2 linked regions of the Alligator mississippiensis genome follow. The main gene of each other region encodes a partner of the protein of the gene in region 2 in a complex. Links are inferred from orthologs where the notes say so. Each region holds a gene or a part of one and is shown on either strand. Other genes may lie near its edges.

Region 1 (7,375 bases), on a different chromosome or scaffold from region 2:
TCCTCGAGAATCGAGAGGAGGTGGATGGGATTCCAGGGATGACTTCAGTGCTGGTATCAGTATTTATATTCTTACTGAGAGGCAGCATAAGAAATGCAAGAGTTGATAAATGAATATGTCTTTACATTTTGTTCCTTGGTTGCTCATTGAGAATCAGATTTTATTGCATTATAACTTGGTCATCTGAGTGGGTTTTAGCAGAAATTGCTAGAGAGCAGGTTTCCATTGGCATAGGCAACAGGATAAGGTAAGGGTGATGGTGAATTGTATGGAATAATCTTAGTTTGGAGGAAAGATGATGCCTCCTGAATGTTGAATGCAAAATGTGACACCTGGGAAAGTATTATTTTCAGGGTGTAATTAGGAAAACAAGGTAGTCTTTTAATCTGACAGACAAAATTAAGTAATAGAACTTGCTTCTGAATAGAAGCAGAAGGTGGACCTTGATGTAAGGCCAATATTAACCTTTTTTTACCCCAGGTAGAAGTATGTTTTCATGTTTTCTTCAAACGAAAGAGTCAGAAATGACTTCTCTCAAAAGATCAAGTTTACCAAACAAAGATTTCAATAAATATTTTGCAGAACTTTTTCCATGTGTGTGGTTTTTATTTTGTTTTGCCAGTTTGTTGCAAACAGCAGCAGATGACAGAGCTTGTAGAGAAAATAGCTGGTGACAGCCTGCAGCCATTGATTGATTGATTGATTTACTTTAATTTTTTCTACGAATGGATTTTACTTCAAAACAACACCTTCCTGCTTGGGGTGGGGGTGGTGTCATCCAATAACTGTTCAAAGTCCTCTGTGAAATGGGTGGTGGGTTTGGCCCATTTTCTGGTGGGGAGATGCTGAATGCAAAATCGGCACTTGTCCATCTCTGCATGAATTGAATGGATTTGTGGTACAAGGAGCAGTTAATGCAGTTGATCTGTTCCTGTAGGTTGAAACTGAAGTATTATTTTTGAAGCTTCAAGTAGGTGAGAAGCTTGCAGTGCTAGTGCTTGTACTATACCTCGTTTGCAGCCTGGAGCACATTCCTGTCCTAATTTGTTAGTCTGGTACCTTTCATTGAGGATATTTCATTAAAATATGGAATCTTTTGCAGCCAGTTAAATGCTGAATGGATGACCATAGTTCGTGGAAACCCTGAGGCAATCAGAAGTTTGCTATTCTTTGGTTTTCAGTAATAAGCTTATTTGTGAAACTGTCCACAGTTATGGATCACTAACTGAAATGTACAGCATGCTTTGATCTTTAAGCAATTCATAATAGACTAGTTCATTAGCTGAAATGACTTTATGGCAAATACTCAGTTAAATGTTTAAATAATTGGGTGTAAGTTGTTTTATTTGGTTACTACAGAGTCTTAGCTGAAGCAGCACTGCATTGCTCCAGCACTGGCCTTCCCAGCTTCTGCACATGGTGTGTAGTCATCTGATCTCTTCCCAGATTAGTGGTAGTGACTGCAAGGAGATCTTTACTTGTTAGTACATCTCCAGAGCTTGCTACCATTTGAATGTGAGCATGGCATAAATATCTAGCTGGGTAAGTAGCTTCTGAGCTGGATGCCACAATCTTGGGAAATATAGCAACACCAGTTCAGATGGAGCTTGTGGCATTTTTTTTTTTAAACTTTGACTTGTTTTAAGGGTTTATGACGTGCTGGATTTGATTTTTAACAACAGATAAGGTGACTTGTGTTGAAATCTGTGGCAACCTGTTAGATGCTGAATGGATGATGATAGTTCACTGAAAAAACCCTCAGGCAGTCAGAAGCTTGCTATGCTTTGGTTTTCAGTAATAAGCTTACTTGTAAAACCATCCAAATAAGTTTTGTGGTAAAACCAGTGTAGTGTTTTGGACTGACTGCAGTGGCATTGACACGGTGTTCCAGACAGCCGGTAAGACATCATTAGATTTGGAATATGGCAAAAACACACTGTCCAAATTCAACATCTTCCTTCTGCAGGCTTCAGAGATGATGACTTCTTAGGAGGCCGGGGCAGAGGGACTCGTACTGGAGATCGGCGAACAGGTCCTCCGCTGGCAGGGGGAGGGACTGGCCGCTTTAGAGATGGACCTCCCCTCCGTGGGACTTCCATGGACTTCAGAGAGCCAACAGAAGGTAGAAAACACCATTGAAGAACCTACATTCCCCAGTAAAACTAACGTAACAGTCTTTGCTTCCAATTTTTAAGTTAATGTCCTCAATGGCAATTTCACAATCTTATTTTTCTTTTTCCAGAGGAAAGAGCACAGAGGCCCCGACTTCAGCTCAAACCTCGAACAGTTGCTACCCCCCTCAATCAAGTAGCCAATCCTAACTCTGCTATCTTTGGCGGAGCCAAGCCCCGAGAGGAAGGGGCAAAAGAGCAGCACGACTGAGCTTGGGGTTGAGAGGGAATGGGAGTGGGGAGGGGTGGGGGGGGAGGGGGGGCGGGCAGGAAAATAAGCAAGACAGCACAGAGTGACTCGCTCTGCTGGAACGTCAACCCTGCAGTTACCATTCCTGCCATCTGACATTGTCCTCTTTGAAACCGAAAACACAGAGCTTGTGAACGCATGTCAGCTGTTAACAAGTGGTTTTTAGTACGTTCTTGGCTTCGCTGTATCTAGTGCCTGCTTTGTGCTGAGTTTTCCCTCTTCTGTTTCCTTCCAAGCAGCACAGTTTCCAGTAGATCATTTAGTAGCTGCTTCCACCTGTGTGAAGGTCCTGCTGGACAAAGGTGCTGCTTTCCTTCCTCTTCTGGGTTTGTTTTACTTTAGAAGCATAGGTTAGACTTGGTTAATATCCTGTGCCATTTCCTTTTGGCTTCCTCAATGCTCCTTTTCTGTCCTGCATGTTTTGTTCTGCATTGCTGTGGCTCTAAAGAGGTAAACTGAAGAGCCCTGGCAAATTGAACAGTTCAAGTAACTTGCACAGCCCTGACCCTGTAGAATTAGGTGCTGCCTGTGACAGTGGCTAATAGGATTACCACATACCACAAGAGCACTCATTCTGAAAATAAAAGTCCTTTTAGGCAGTTCACAGGGAAGAGACTGCTTCTCAGCAGATAGAAGTAAAACGATTTGCAGGCAGGCCTAATTAGTTAATGACATTTATATGAAGAAAGCACTTGCTTCAGTAGGCATACCTCGAGGGGAAAGATGCATCCCACTATTATGTAACTGGCTGTCTACAAGTAGTATAATGTTACACTCTTGAGCTTGAGGTTGGTGCTATAAAGCTGTGCCTATTCTAGCACATAACTGCTGACTGGCTCTTTCTGCTTGTAATTTGAGTTTCACATGTTTGGTAAATTTTTAAAGTAAGTTTCTACAAATAAAGTTGACTTCTTTTTTTTTTTTTTTTTTTGTTTGTTTGTTTGTTTAAAGAGTGTATAATTTGCCATGCCATGTATGTCTGTCTGCCACCATCTTCTGTACATCTTGACCCAGTCGTGTACAGCTGACAGTAATTTTGCTTTTGGAATGGCCTCTAAAACGGGCAAGATTTGAATCTTTACCTCCTTTCATGATATGAATTCTGCTGCTTGGTGTGTAAAGATTTTTGGTAATGGTTTCTCCAGACAACAGTTGCCTAACCTCCTTGACCCTCAAATGCACTGTTGTCAGGGTTGATGAGGGCATGTGAGAAAAGCGATCCTGAATAGTTTGTAATGTTGTAAAAGAAAAAAAATACAAACCTTGGAGCTGTAAAAAACTGAGAAGACAAGTCCAGTGTGAAATAACTCTTGGGTTCCTAACATCAGTGCTGACAATTTTCAGATAGCAGGCAAGCAACAAACATACTAGAGTACCTCAAAGAGGACATGAGTTGTTTGAAAGCAAGGCTGCTTCAGTACCAGCTCCGTTGCTAGTACGGTATTCTTTTCCTTCCTGTTAACCTTTTGTAACATCAGAGTCCCAGCAATTTACAGAACTATTCTTTCCTTCTTTCTGCCTATCACTTAATCTGCTTCTGACATAAGAACCATTTGTCTAACACTAATACTTAAGTTAAGACAGACATGCATTTGTGTGGTTGTATTCCAAACCAATAATATTTGACCTATTTTACATCATCAATGTGGAAAAGATTTTAAGAATGAGAAAGCTCCCATATAAAAGCTCACTTCTAGTCAATACAGTTGACTTTTAAATGTAAGGAAAAAAAAAAAATGGAAAAAAAAAAATTCCAAACACTTAACACATTCTGCTTCATAACAGAAAGTAAATTTATGGATATGGTATTTTGTGAATGATCTTTTAAATAAAAGAAGACATTAAGTAATACTTAATGCTGGTCTTTATTTCTGTGAGTCTCCTACCTTGTTTCAGTCCTCTGCAATATAACGTTGTTTCTGAAGTTTCTCTCCATCTATTTAACAAAGGAGAACATTGTCAGTATTGGACATTTATGAGAACTCGGGTATACCATAAAGTCCAATAAAGATGAATTGGGGAGAGATTCTCATCTAAACATAACTTTTGGGAGCAAGTAAGAATGGCACACTAGTGATCACTTTTTTGGTAAATGCATCTAAATGCTTTTGTTTAAGATCATTTTGCCTAAAGCAATCCTAGTTTTCCTTCTCTTTGACAAATTTCCTTATTGGAGTAAATAGTCAAGGATATTAGATGCAGAGCAGCACTCTTTCTGCAGAATTTGATGTATTACTTGGTTAAAATCTGTTTTTTTAAAAAAAGGCTTTGTTCTAGTCTTCTTGCAGGGCCTCTCTTAATCTAGACTAAGGCAAAGTAATCAGCCCTATCTGGGCATGTCTGTGAACTGTTTGTGGGATTGATCTTGCCCGAGAAAACAAATATTTCACACATTGATTGGACTCGGGTAGTGGGGGAGGGGACAGTTATAGCAGTTAAGTAAAGGAGAGTTGGGAATGATTTGGAGGAGAAGGCTGTAAAATTCAAAGCTCCAAGATGATTGGCTCCTGCCAGGTCATCTTTGTGACTTGTTGGCTGCAGTGGAAAATAGCATGCTTGCTTCTGTGGGATAAGGTATTTTCTGTGCTTACTTTGATATCATGGTACAAATCCATGTCCTAAGCACAAAGTAGGAAATAGTTGAATTGTTGATGAACTTAGTGGTATAACCTGTAGTAAATGGCATTGATGTGGATGTGAAAAACCTTCAGTTTCTCTGGGGAAATGTAGAAGTTTTGCGTTGTAAATCAAATAAGCTGTACTGAATTAAAAAAAAAAAAATCACTTCTATTTATTACTGGGACTTGCCATGTTAGTGTGTTACTTCTGCGGAAGCAGCTCATTGTTCAGGTGGCAAACTGACCATGATCAACCTGTCCAACCAGGGGATGTTTCCTATCCTCAGTGCAGTGAAACCCACCTAGTACAGAAGTCTAATTCTAAATTGAAATATTTTTTGTGGGGGGGAGAAGGGCAGGGGGTTAAGTTGCAATAGGTACTTGAAAGAGAAATCGACTATCAAATTGTTTCTCTTGTCCAGTTCCTTTATTTTTGGTTACTGGGGTTTTAAGAGCAGGATATCCTTATAGCAAGATCCTTGTCTTTAGAGTTGTATATAGTTTTGCTGTCCTGGAAAACTACAAGTATTCGAGGGCCCATATGTCTTGCCTAGCTTCTGTCACATTGTGAACATGAGTCTGGAGAAAGAAGGTACTGCTTTGCAAATTTTTCAAGATGCTGGCAGACTTCTTTGTGCAAAAATTGCTATAGTTTGGCCCTTTGTATGTTTTGCTCAAGTTGAGTTTGTATTGTATCTCTCTTGCGTACAGTATGTTGTCCTTGGAGAAAGCGATGCTAGTGAGCCTTGGTATAGGGTGTTACAAGATAAGTTAGCTGTTTACTTTTAACTACCATCTTTGGCATTTCAAATGTTAACACTGCAGAAATTTCCTTGAAGTCAAGACCTGTGATCTTTATGGTGACAGCCCTCAAAATAAAGACTGAAATCTGTCACTGCCTTGTTACTTTGCCAAGTACATAATAACACTCCTGACAGTGCTCCAGCTTGGTTTCTTTGAAAGTGCTATAATAATCCCAGAAAATGGTGCTCTGACCGTTACAGACACTGAAGAGAGAGATGTGAATAATTTGTTAGAGTTTTGCATCAAGTCAAGGTTTGAAAGCAGGCTTTAGTTTCAAGAAGTTGCTTTCATTTTTTTTCCAACAGAACAGTATTTCTTTATACAACTGAATGTGTAACTTAGTATGCAGAGACCAGGATAATGACAAGCCGCAAGGAATTGACATTTTACCCAAACTTCTGCTGGGCATGCCAAAGTTTGGCAGATATAAAAGATATTATACAACTAGAAGCTTATGGAACTTAGTATAGGGAATCATTCCAGAGCAGAATGAACACACGTGTCCAGTTAATCTTGCCCCAACACAGTTTTGGATTAGGCTGGTATTTTCCACTTGATGTAGTTTGAAGCAACAAAGTCTAATCATGGACATTTTGGCAGGTGGAGAAGCTTTTGGTAACGTGTTCATGCCAGCTGCCAAATTCTAATTGTATGTTCAGAGAACTATAAATTGTTACTCGCAATTGTTCAGAACAAGACCTATTGAAATTCCTGCAAATTCTGTGCAGAGCAGATTTAATAGCAAAGCCGGCTTTAGAGCTGGCAATGTAGCTGAATCAGAAGGGTGAGTGTCCAATGACCTCTTCATTGGAAGGTTCTGGCGTGCGCTTTCATGATCACCCTCTGCTGTGCAAAGCTCTGAGTGCTGCTGCTACGTGATTGGTGCCATCCTTACTATGGCTAATACATGATCCTCTTAGAATCTGTCCCCTGCTGCAGGGGCCAAACCCATCAGGTGCCTGCATTCAGTTTCTAAGGCCAGATTTTATGTCATTTATTTTAAGCTAGTCTATCTTCAAGTCTTTACTAAATGCATTTCTGTCATGTTTGTTCAAACGCTCGCTTTCAGTAAGCATGCCAGCCAAATTTCCTGTGGTTAGCTGCTGGCTATTTTCTTAGGGTTGTGTTGTAAAGGCCACGGACTTAATTTGTTAGCAAATTTCAGTTACCACTACAGGCATATAGATATGCAGGATATATACATCAGTAAGTTCTTATTTCCTAATGCAGAACCCAAGTATCCTATTGGGGCACTTGCAAACATTTGGTTGGCTTCAGATCGTGAGTTGCCTTCCTCGGTATAAAGTAGATTAATGCTTGTACTTAATTCTGGAAATAGGAATTTTGCGTAAGTGCTTAGATATTGAATTGCTTTTCATTCTTAAGTGTTTAGTTCCCTGCTGGCTAAATTCCCCACGTTACTTGCAATTTATTCTGCTCTAGGATTTTAAGGAAATCAATTTGTCCTTCAGTGAACTTTTGAGAGCATCCTGTACTATGTTATCTCGGCCTTTCTGGCTCTGGAGAATTGG
Region 2 (7,368 bases):
TGTTAAATGATTATGACATCAGGACCCATACCAAACTTCTTGTTTACCAGGCTGCCATTGTTCCTATGCTGTTGTATGGGTACAAAACCCAGACAACATACCAGAAACACCTGAAAGGTTTGAAAATTACCATCAGTGATGTCTTCAGAAAATTCTCTATTTCAATTGGAAGAACAGATGCTAGTATTCTAGTTCAAATAAATTCTACCAGCATTGAAGCTATGCTTATATGACTGCTGTCATGACCCAAAGGTCTGATTTTTTTGTGTGTGTGCTTCGGCACTCGAATTATCCCCGTGGGTATACAGCTTCATTGCACGGAGGAGTTCTGCTGCACAGAGAACCTGCGTGTAAAGGAGCGTTCCAGCCACTTTGCAGCGATCTTTGCAGGGTGCATTTCCTTTGCAACACAGAAATGCACGGTGCAAAGAGTTCCCACTCGTCGTATGTAAATTCGTGCCCTGCAATTGGCTAGTTCTAAATTATTCACACGTGGCGGCTAGCGATTGGCCTGCTAGCCGTATAAGAGGCTTGAGCAGTTTCCGCCCAAGCCGAAGAGGACTCCGCATCCATCTCGTGCGGACTCTGGGTGTGCGCGGCAGGGTAATAGAAACCCTGTGTGTTGCCCAGAGGAGTTTGGCGGCCTGATCCACCGCCCACCTCTTCCCGTCTTCGAACGGAGCCTACTATAAGACGTACCGACGAGTTTAATGTGCGCTTGTCCTGGACATCTGGAGTTCTGTCTGCGTGGAGCCTAGCAAACTCCACGTGATCGTTCGTGTTTTGTCTGCGTGGAGCCTAGCAAACTCCACGTGTGTTCATGTTTTCTGTTGTAACCGCAACTCAAGCAAGTTCTCAGCCTGCACCGCGACCATCTCGGTGTAAGTAAAACAATCTTAAAATCAACCGTTACGTGTCTGTGCCTAATTCTAATTCAGCGACCTCCCTCTCCGACCCGGCCTGCCCGGGCTGCCGGCCACAGCCCACATGCAGAGCGACGAAAAGGGCCCGGGGCCTGACCTGGCCCGCACATGGCGACGAGGATGGGATCAGGATCACCGCGGCACATGGCGATGAGCTCAGGAGAGGGCTCGCTAGAGTTAGAATTAGTTGAGAACTGCCCTTGGAGAAGTGGGAGACGCAGCGTAGCAAGCATCGGAGAACTGGAGGCGCACCTCGTGTACCACCAGGCGGGCAGAACGGGCAAGAGATGTGTCTGTGGATACCTTTCGTTAAGGGGAGAAGAGGGAACTCCAGAAGTTGGAGCCCTAGAAGGGAAAGAAATATATCTTCACCCCGCGGCGTTGAGGTGTATCATGGCCGATGAGCGGGTCCTGTACAGGCCCCTCGAGGCTGTGACCCTTGCTGAAGTCGACCCGGCGAGCGCAGTAAGCCCGACCCCCACCCGGGAGTGTCTCCTTTGCTCACGGTGTGCCCGAGAGATGGGAGAGACGATGCCAATCGGCTGGTTTTCCCCTTGTATGGTGGTGCCCAGACTGAGGGGTCAAGATCGTCTGTCCGAGCTCCGCGAAGACCAGGAGACGGAGGACCGTGCCGTAAATGAGAGAGTGGTCCTACAGTGCGACAAGGGGGGAAAACTAAATGCAGCTTTTCAGACTATGACTGATTTAATGAGTGAAACTTTAAGCTTAAAGACCCAGCTGCATATGGCCGTTCGGGCAGTCGGAGAAGCGGCTGAGAAAGGGGATCTTAAACTGCCCCAACAAGATGGCACCGAGCAGAGGGAAGACCGCGTGGAGGAGCCGGAAGTGAGGGATGGAGCTTTGGGAGAGCCCGCGAGTGTTCGGCCGGTAACTCCGCCCAGCGACGCAGCGTCGGTTCCGCCGACCACGCCCCTCTGCCGAAGGGAGGGGGAGTCAAGCAGAGGAGTGCATCCGCCCCTCCCGCCTGAAACAACAACAACCCCCACTGTAACAATGACTACAGCTCCGACAGAAACAGCAACAGCAACGACAACTCGCGAAGAAACTGATCAGCCTGCAGTACAAAGCAGCCCAGTCATTGGTCCGCAGAATGCAGTTCAAGCTACCACCTATTACGCTCGTTCCAGAGCCGAACTGCAGAATTTGTGTAGAGAATCCAGGATCCGACCCGAAGAAACTCTGGCTGTGTGGTTGGGACGTCTGGTCGTGGAACTTGGGTCCGACCTCCTGGACCAGGAAGAAGCAAGCTTCTTGGTGAGACAAGCTTCATGGAGTAGGGGACATGTCACTGACATCAACATGGTGGCATTTAGCGTCCACTGGCCTATTCCGATTCCAGCGCTTGTGGCAGGAGTGATTGAACAGAAGGCCCACGCATGGCACGATGGCCGACCAGAGCATACCAGTGCAGAACAGCTTGTACTAACTATTATCGGAGTTTCGTATTGCGCCTGGAACCCAAGAGAATGCATGTTGGGACTAACACCGCTCCAACGAATGCGACCGTGGCCTCATCGTCACCTGCGAGACCCTGGAACCGTTCCGGTGACTCTCGACAGCATAGATAGTTGTCTTAAAGTTTATGGGCAAAGAAACATCGTGGTTTTGCGGATTGTGCTGAACCCACTGGTCGATCATCCTGTGAGTAGTCTCCTTCATCAGTTGTCAAGACTGCACGTCCTAATGGAGCCAAGACTATCCAGTGATCGGGAGTATCAACGCCCGACCGAGGCTCAGAACACGAAACACCGCAAATCCGAGCGTCCAGTATTATGCCAGAGAACGCAAGAGGAGTCATACATGTTTGGATACCTCCTGCAGCGCTCTGGACTTAATAAGAGACAGCTTCGGATTTTAGGAGATGCGGGACAATGGCAGCTAGCCTACGAGTTAGGTTTTCACTATCTAGAAGAAGGCGACGACGACTCATTGACGATTTCGTCGAGTTGCTGAGTCGGAAAAGAGAAAGAGCTGTCTAGTATAAAATCGTGTTTACATATTTGTATTTAATAAGTAATGATAAGTTTAATCGACTGCATTATCGTGCGGTCCTGTGTGATTTGTGAATAACCATTTTGAGAGAGTTCTTTTACAGATCAGGGATTCGGAGTGCGTGGTGGAGAGAGGCCCCGAGAAGGACAACATCACCAAAAGGAACAAAGGCCTGACGCGCGATTCCACCATGACGCCCACCGAAGTCATGATCGTTCAGTTTTTTGTTATGAATGTAATTTTATGTATATGTGTGTGTGTCGGTTATTATTTGATTCGATCCCTTGAGGACGAACTTTTATTGTTGACTGATTTTGTTTTTGCTCGTTTAGTTTCGCGAACCATTGACAGAGCTGTTAATAACCCGGATGATAGGTTTGAAGTATAATTCTATTGTGCCTTCAGCAAGGGGGGATGTCATGACCCAAAGGTCTGATTTTTTTTGTGTGTGCTTCGGCACTCGAATTATCCCCGTGGGTATACAGCTTCATTGCACGGAGGAGTTCTGCTGCACAGAGAACCCGCGTGCAAAGGAGTGTTCCCGCCACTTTGCAGCGATCTTTGCAGGGTGCATTTCCTTTGCAACACAGAAATGCACGGTGCAAAGAGTTCCCACTCGTCGTATGTAAATTCGTGCCCCGCAATTGGCTAGTTCTAAATTATTCACACGTGGCGGCTAGCGATTGGCCTGCTAGCCGTATAAGAGGCTTGAGCAGTTTCCGCCCAAGCCGAAGAGGACTCCGCATCCATCTCGCGGGGACTCTGGGTGTGCACGGCAGGGTAATAGAAACCCTGTGTGTTGCCCAGAGGAATTTGGCGGCCTGATCCACCGCCCACCTCTTCCCGTCTTCGAACGGAGCCTACTATAAGACGTACCGACGAGTTTAATGCGCGCTTGTCCTGGACATCTGGAGTTCTGTCTGCGTGGAGCCTAGCAAACTCCACGTGATCGTTCGTGTTTTGTCTGCGTGGAGCCTAGCAAACTCCACGTGTGTTCGTGTTTTCTGTTGTAACCGCAACTCAAGCAAGTTCTCAGCCTGCACCGCGACCATCTCGGTGTAAGTAAAACAATCTTAAAATCAACCGTTACGTGTCTGTGCCTAATTCTAACTCAGCGACCTCCCTCTCCGACCCGGCCTGCCCGGGCTGCCGGCCACAGCCCACGTGCAGAGCGACAAAAAGGGCCCGGGGTCTGACCCGGCCCGCACAACTGCCAGCTCCATGGACAAGATATGTTACATGGGTGCCTGACAACTGGCTCCTAAAACCGGTCCTATACTCCCAAATGACTGACGGTCACCACTGTAGATGTGAGCAAAAGATATTCAAAGACACCGTGAAGGCCAATCTGAAAAAATGTGACATTACTATCAATAGTTGGGAGATGTTAGCACTAAATCACCCCCAGTTGTACCGTAATGTACAAGAAGGTATCAATCACTTCAAAAAAACTCATCTCATCTTTATCATGCATTACCTAATTACGAAGTACATAAACTGTCATTCTAAACGAAAGAGTGTAGAATAAGGTCAGAATATCCTTAGTGTCAGGGCATGGAATTAATATCAGCATGTTCCTCATGTGAACAAACTATCAGGGTCAAAATAAATCTTTTCAGGATTAGACAGTTAAAAAAAAAACGATGACTGGGCGTGGAGGGTTCCATCTCCGCATTTGTTTGCCCTCAGCTAGCTTTGTTTTGGCCCATGTCAGCAGGGACATCAATGTTTAATGTCTGTTCAGCTACCTGAGTTCTTGATCCAGATCTTCCACTGATATCAAGAAGCACCAGTGGGTGCCCCACACTGTCTATAAATCAGACCTCACCTAGGTGCTTAGAAATAAAACTACCACCTGTGTTTAAACACACATTTTAATACATTAAACATTGGCCTGTTTGTGCCTTCAGAGAATGTCTAAACAGACATTTGCTACCTAAAACACTGAAAGAAATTAGTTGTTATGGTTTTATCTGAGAACAAGCAACTCATCATCATTCACTGTCCCAGTCTATAGTGGAAGACACAAGGATTATAATTTTATAATGAAAATAATGGCATAAATGCAGAAACATACCTATATACTTTCCACGTGATAAACAATAAATTCTTATTTTGAGGCAGCTCCCTAACTGGTTAAAAAAGGAAGTCAGAATGACTCGATGAGAAAATGTTGTTGTAGCCATGACAGTCCAGAAAATATACAAGAAGCCGGGGGGGGAAGAGATTGTTGATATCTTTTATTGGAGCAATTGGGAGAGATGTTAAACAAATGTTCAGGCACAAAGAATCTTTCTTCAGATGACAAGAGAGGAAATTTTGCATGTTCTGCACCTTTGCCCTACAGGGCTAAAACCTGCAGTTTTTCTCCTATCTGTCCTTAGTATGGAGTCCTTCCATGATATAAAATTTAGGGTGAGCAATATAAAATATGAGACTATTTTAATAGTTTCTTCTTTATTTTGTGGAATTCGCTTGTTTTAACTATGAAACAAAAACATTAGAAAATACTAGCAGGTTACTAAGCAGTCTGGAGGTGTTGTAAGTGTTGTGATTACCAGTATCAATAGTATCAGGTACCAAAATCAAGATAATGGACATGGCTCATGGCTTTGTAATGCCAGTTTTAGACTGGCAGACCTCTACTGAAGCCAGTAGAGCTACACTGTCACAAAAATAAAGCAAGGGGCCATGGGTCTGCTGACATGAAGTCCTGACTTTGAATAAGGACTAATTTCATAGACCTTTTCTGCTTGTGAGGAGTTGTCAGCAGAAGATCCTGGACTGCTCCAGAGCTATCCCGTGCTGAAATAGAACTGTCCAGGTTTCAATATTTTTCTTAAGTCCTTCATTCACTGGCACTTTTTGACTGGATAATCTTGTCAGCTTCCACAGAACTGACACTCTCTTTTCATACCCAACAGGAATTTAAACATCACTGGACAGAACTCAGAGGAACCACACTTTTCTTCTATAACGATAAGAAAACCACAATGGTGAGTAGCACTATGGGCTAATGTGAAGATGTTTGAGCAATTTCGATAGTACTTATCATCAAGCAAGAAAGCATGTGTGTGAGAACTGCCTCTCTCAGTTCCATCCTCCCACACTTTGGAAACCCAAAGAGCAGAAAGCAAGCCCAGAAACCAAAATGCCTGGTGAAGTCATGGGAAGTGAAATTATGATACAGCAAGTTCTTCCTCACCACAGTCATTCAGGCTACACTGAGCATTTGCTCTAGGGATGAGATCTATCTGGAGCTGCAGCACAGGCAGGTGGACTATCTTCTTCAAGGTCACCCAAGAAACACAGAGGCAAGAATAGAACACAGATCTCCTGAGCCCATCAAGTAGTCAATCCACTAGGACCCAATGGGCATTTTTAATGGACATTAAAGATCACCTTGTTCACAGCACTTAAAAGCAGAGCTAAACATTCCCTCCTTCATTGTACAGCTGAGAAGCAGCTGTTAATCTATATATGGTTTTCAAAATAGTGGGGGAAAATGCTGGTTGAAAGATGCTATTATTATGATACATACAGCATGTATATCCTCTTTATCTTTTGTACAGGCTCTTTGACAGAAAAGCAAGAAATTCTACTCCAGTGCCAAGTTTATGCCTTCCTAACACAAAATTTCTGCAGATCAAAAACAAGCACCAGTATAACAAGAATTATTTAATACCCTGAACGGACACAGCTTATCTTGCTTGAACTGTGTTTGAAACCAAGCTCCACAGTTGAAGGCCCCACCACAGTTTTTCAGAGCAGTGTGCATAGGGATGTATTTTTTCCTTAAAACCATTTTATAAAGGGCCTGATTATTCTCTCCCATGTGACTAGAATATTGTTGTGGCCCCTTGACTTCACTAAAGTAGTGCTTGATTTATGCTTATTTCAGTGAAAGATGTAAAAGACTTATTGCTCTAGGTTGTCCTAAGAGCATAGTTTACAACAATGTCATAACTTAGCTCTTAAATAAAAAATTTCAAGCTGCAGTGGTTAGCAAAACTACTGCAGTCTCGCCAGCAACAACTTTGTTCAATGAACATGACAGTAAAGACTGTGTTTTACAACCACCAAGAGTCTATATTAGGCCAGCAGTTCCCAGATAAATTGTTGGAAGAATCAAAACCCTCCAGCAGTACGTTTCTGCAACATCTCCCAAATGTTTCACTGTACAAGATGTGTAAAGAGAGGGACTATGATAGTGAGAATTTTCCCCCTTTATAGTTTTTCCCTGCAAGCCCATGCATGAATCATCATAGACATCTTCTTAGGACTCAAAAGCCAGCCATAACAAGTAAACTTTGTTTTTAAATTCCAGAGGGCATATTTAATTAAGTAATCTGTTTTGCATATAGAGGTTGTAGCTGAAGTTGTTTACATCTCTATACAGGAAGTATCATCTTAATGCCGTATTTCCTGGCTG

The links.
Region 1: the proteins of STAP1 (region 2) and LAT2 are in contact, whole or in part, in a crystal structure (PDB 3MAZ), measured with the Homo sapiens proteins. The link is inferred for Alligator mississippiensis from reciprocal best matches to the Homo sapiens genes STAP1 and LAT2. Residues at the interface, in NP_001304698.1 of Homo sapiens: Arg184, Arg203, Pro204, Gly205, Ser206, Ser212, Ile215, Gln217, Ile219, Lys225, His226, Tyr227, Lys228, Glu239, Leu240, Glu241, Tyr255, Phe256, Glu259, Thr260, Arg261, Asn263, Leu264; in NP_054865.2 of Homo sapiens: Asn134, Ser135, Tyr136, Glu137, Asn138, Val139, Leu140, Ile141, Lys143.

The regions. Positions count from the first base shown.
Region 1 is NC_081837.1:13,846,225-13,853,599, reverse strand, and holds the start of LAT2 (linker for activation of T-cells family member 2), read left to right. Parts: upstream 1-4,362; 5' UTR 4,363-7,375. Other genes in the region: EIF4H (eukaryotic translation initiation factor 4H), read left to right, coding at 1-53, 1,967-2,122, 2,243-2,382. UniProt on the Homo sapiens protein: Involved in FCER1 (high affinity immunoglobulin epsilon receptor)-mediated signaling in mast cells.
Region 2 is NC_081825.1:133,207,134-133,214,501, reverse strand, and holds the start of STAP1 (signal-transducing adaptor protein 1), read left to right. Parts: upstream 1-4,354; coding exon 4,355-4,366; intron 4,367-5,860; coding exon 5,861-5,932; intron 5,933-7,368. UniProt on the Homo sapiens protein: In BCR signaling, appears to function as a docking protein acting downstream of TEC and participates in a positive feedback loop by increasing the activity of TEC.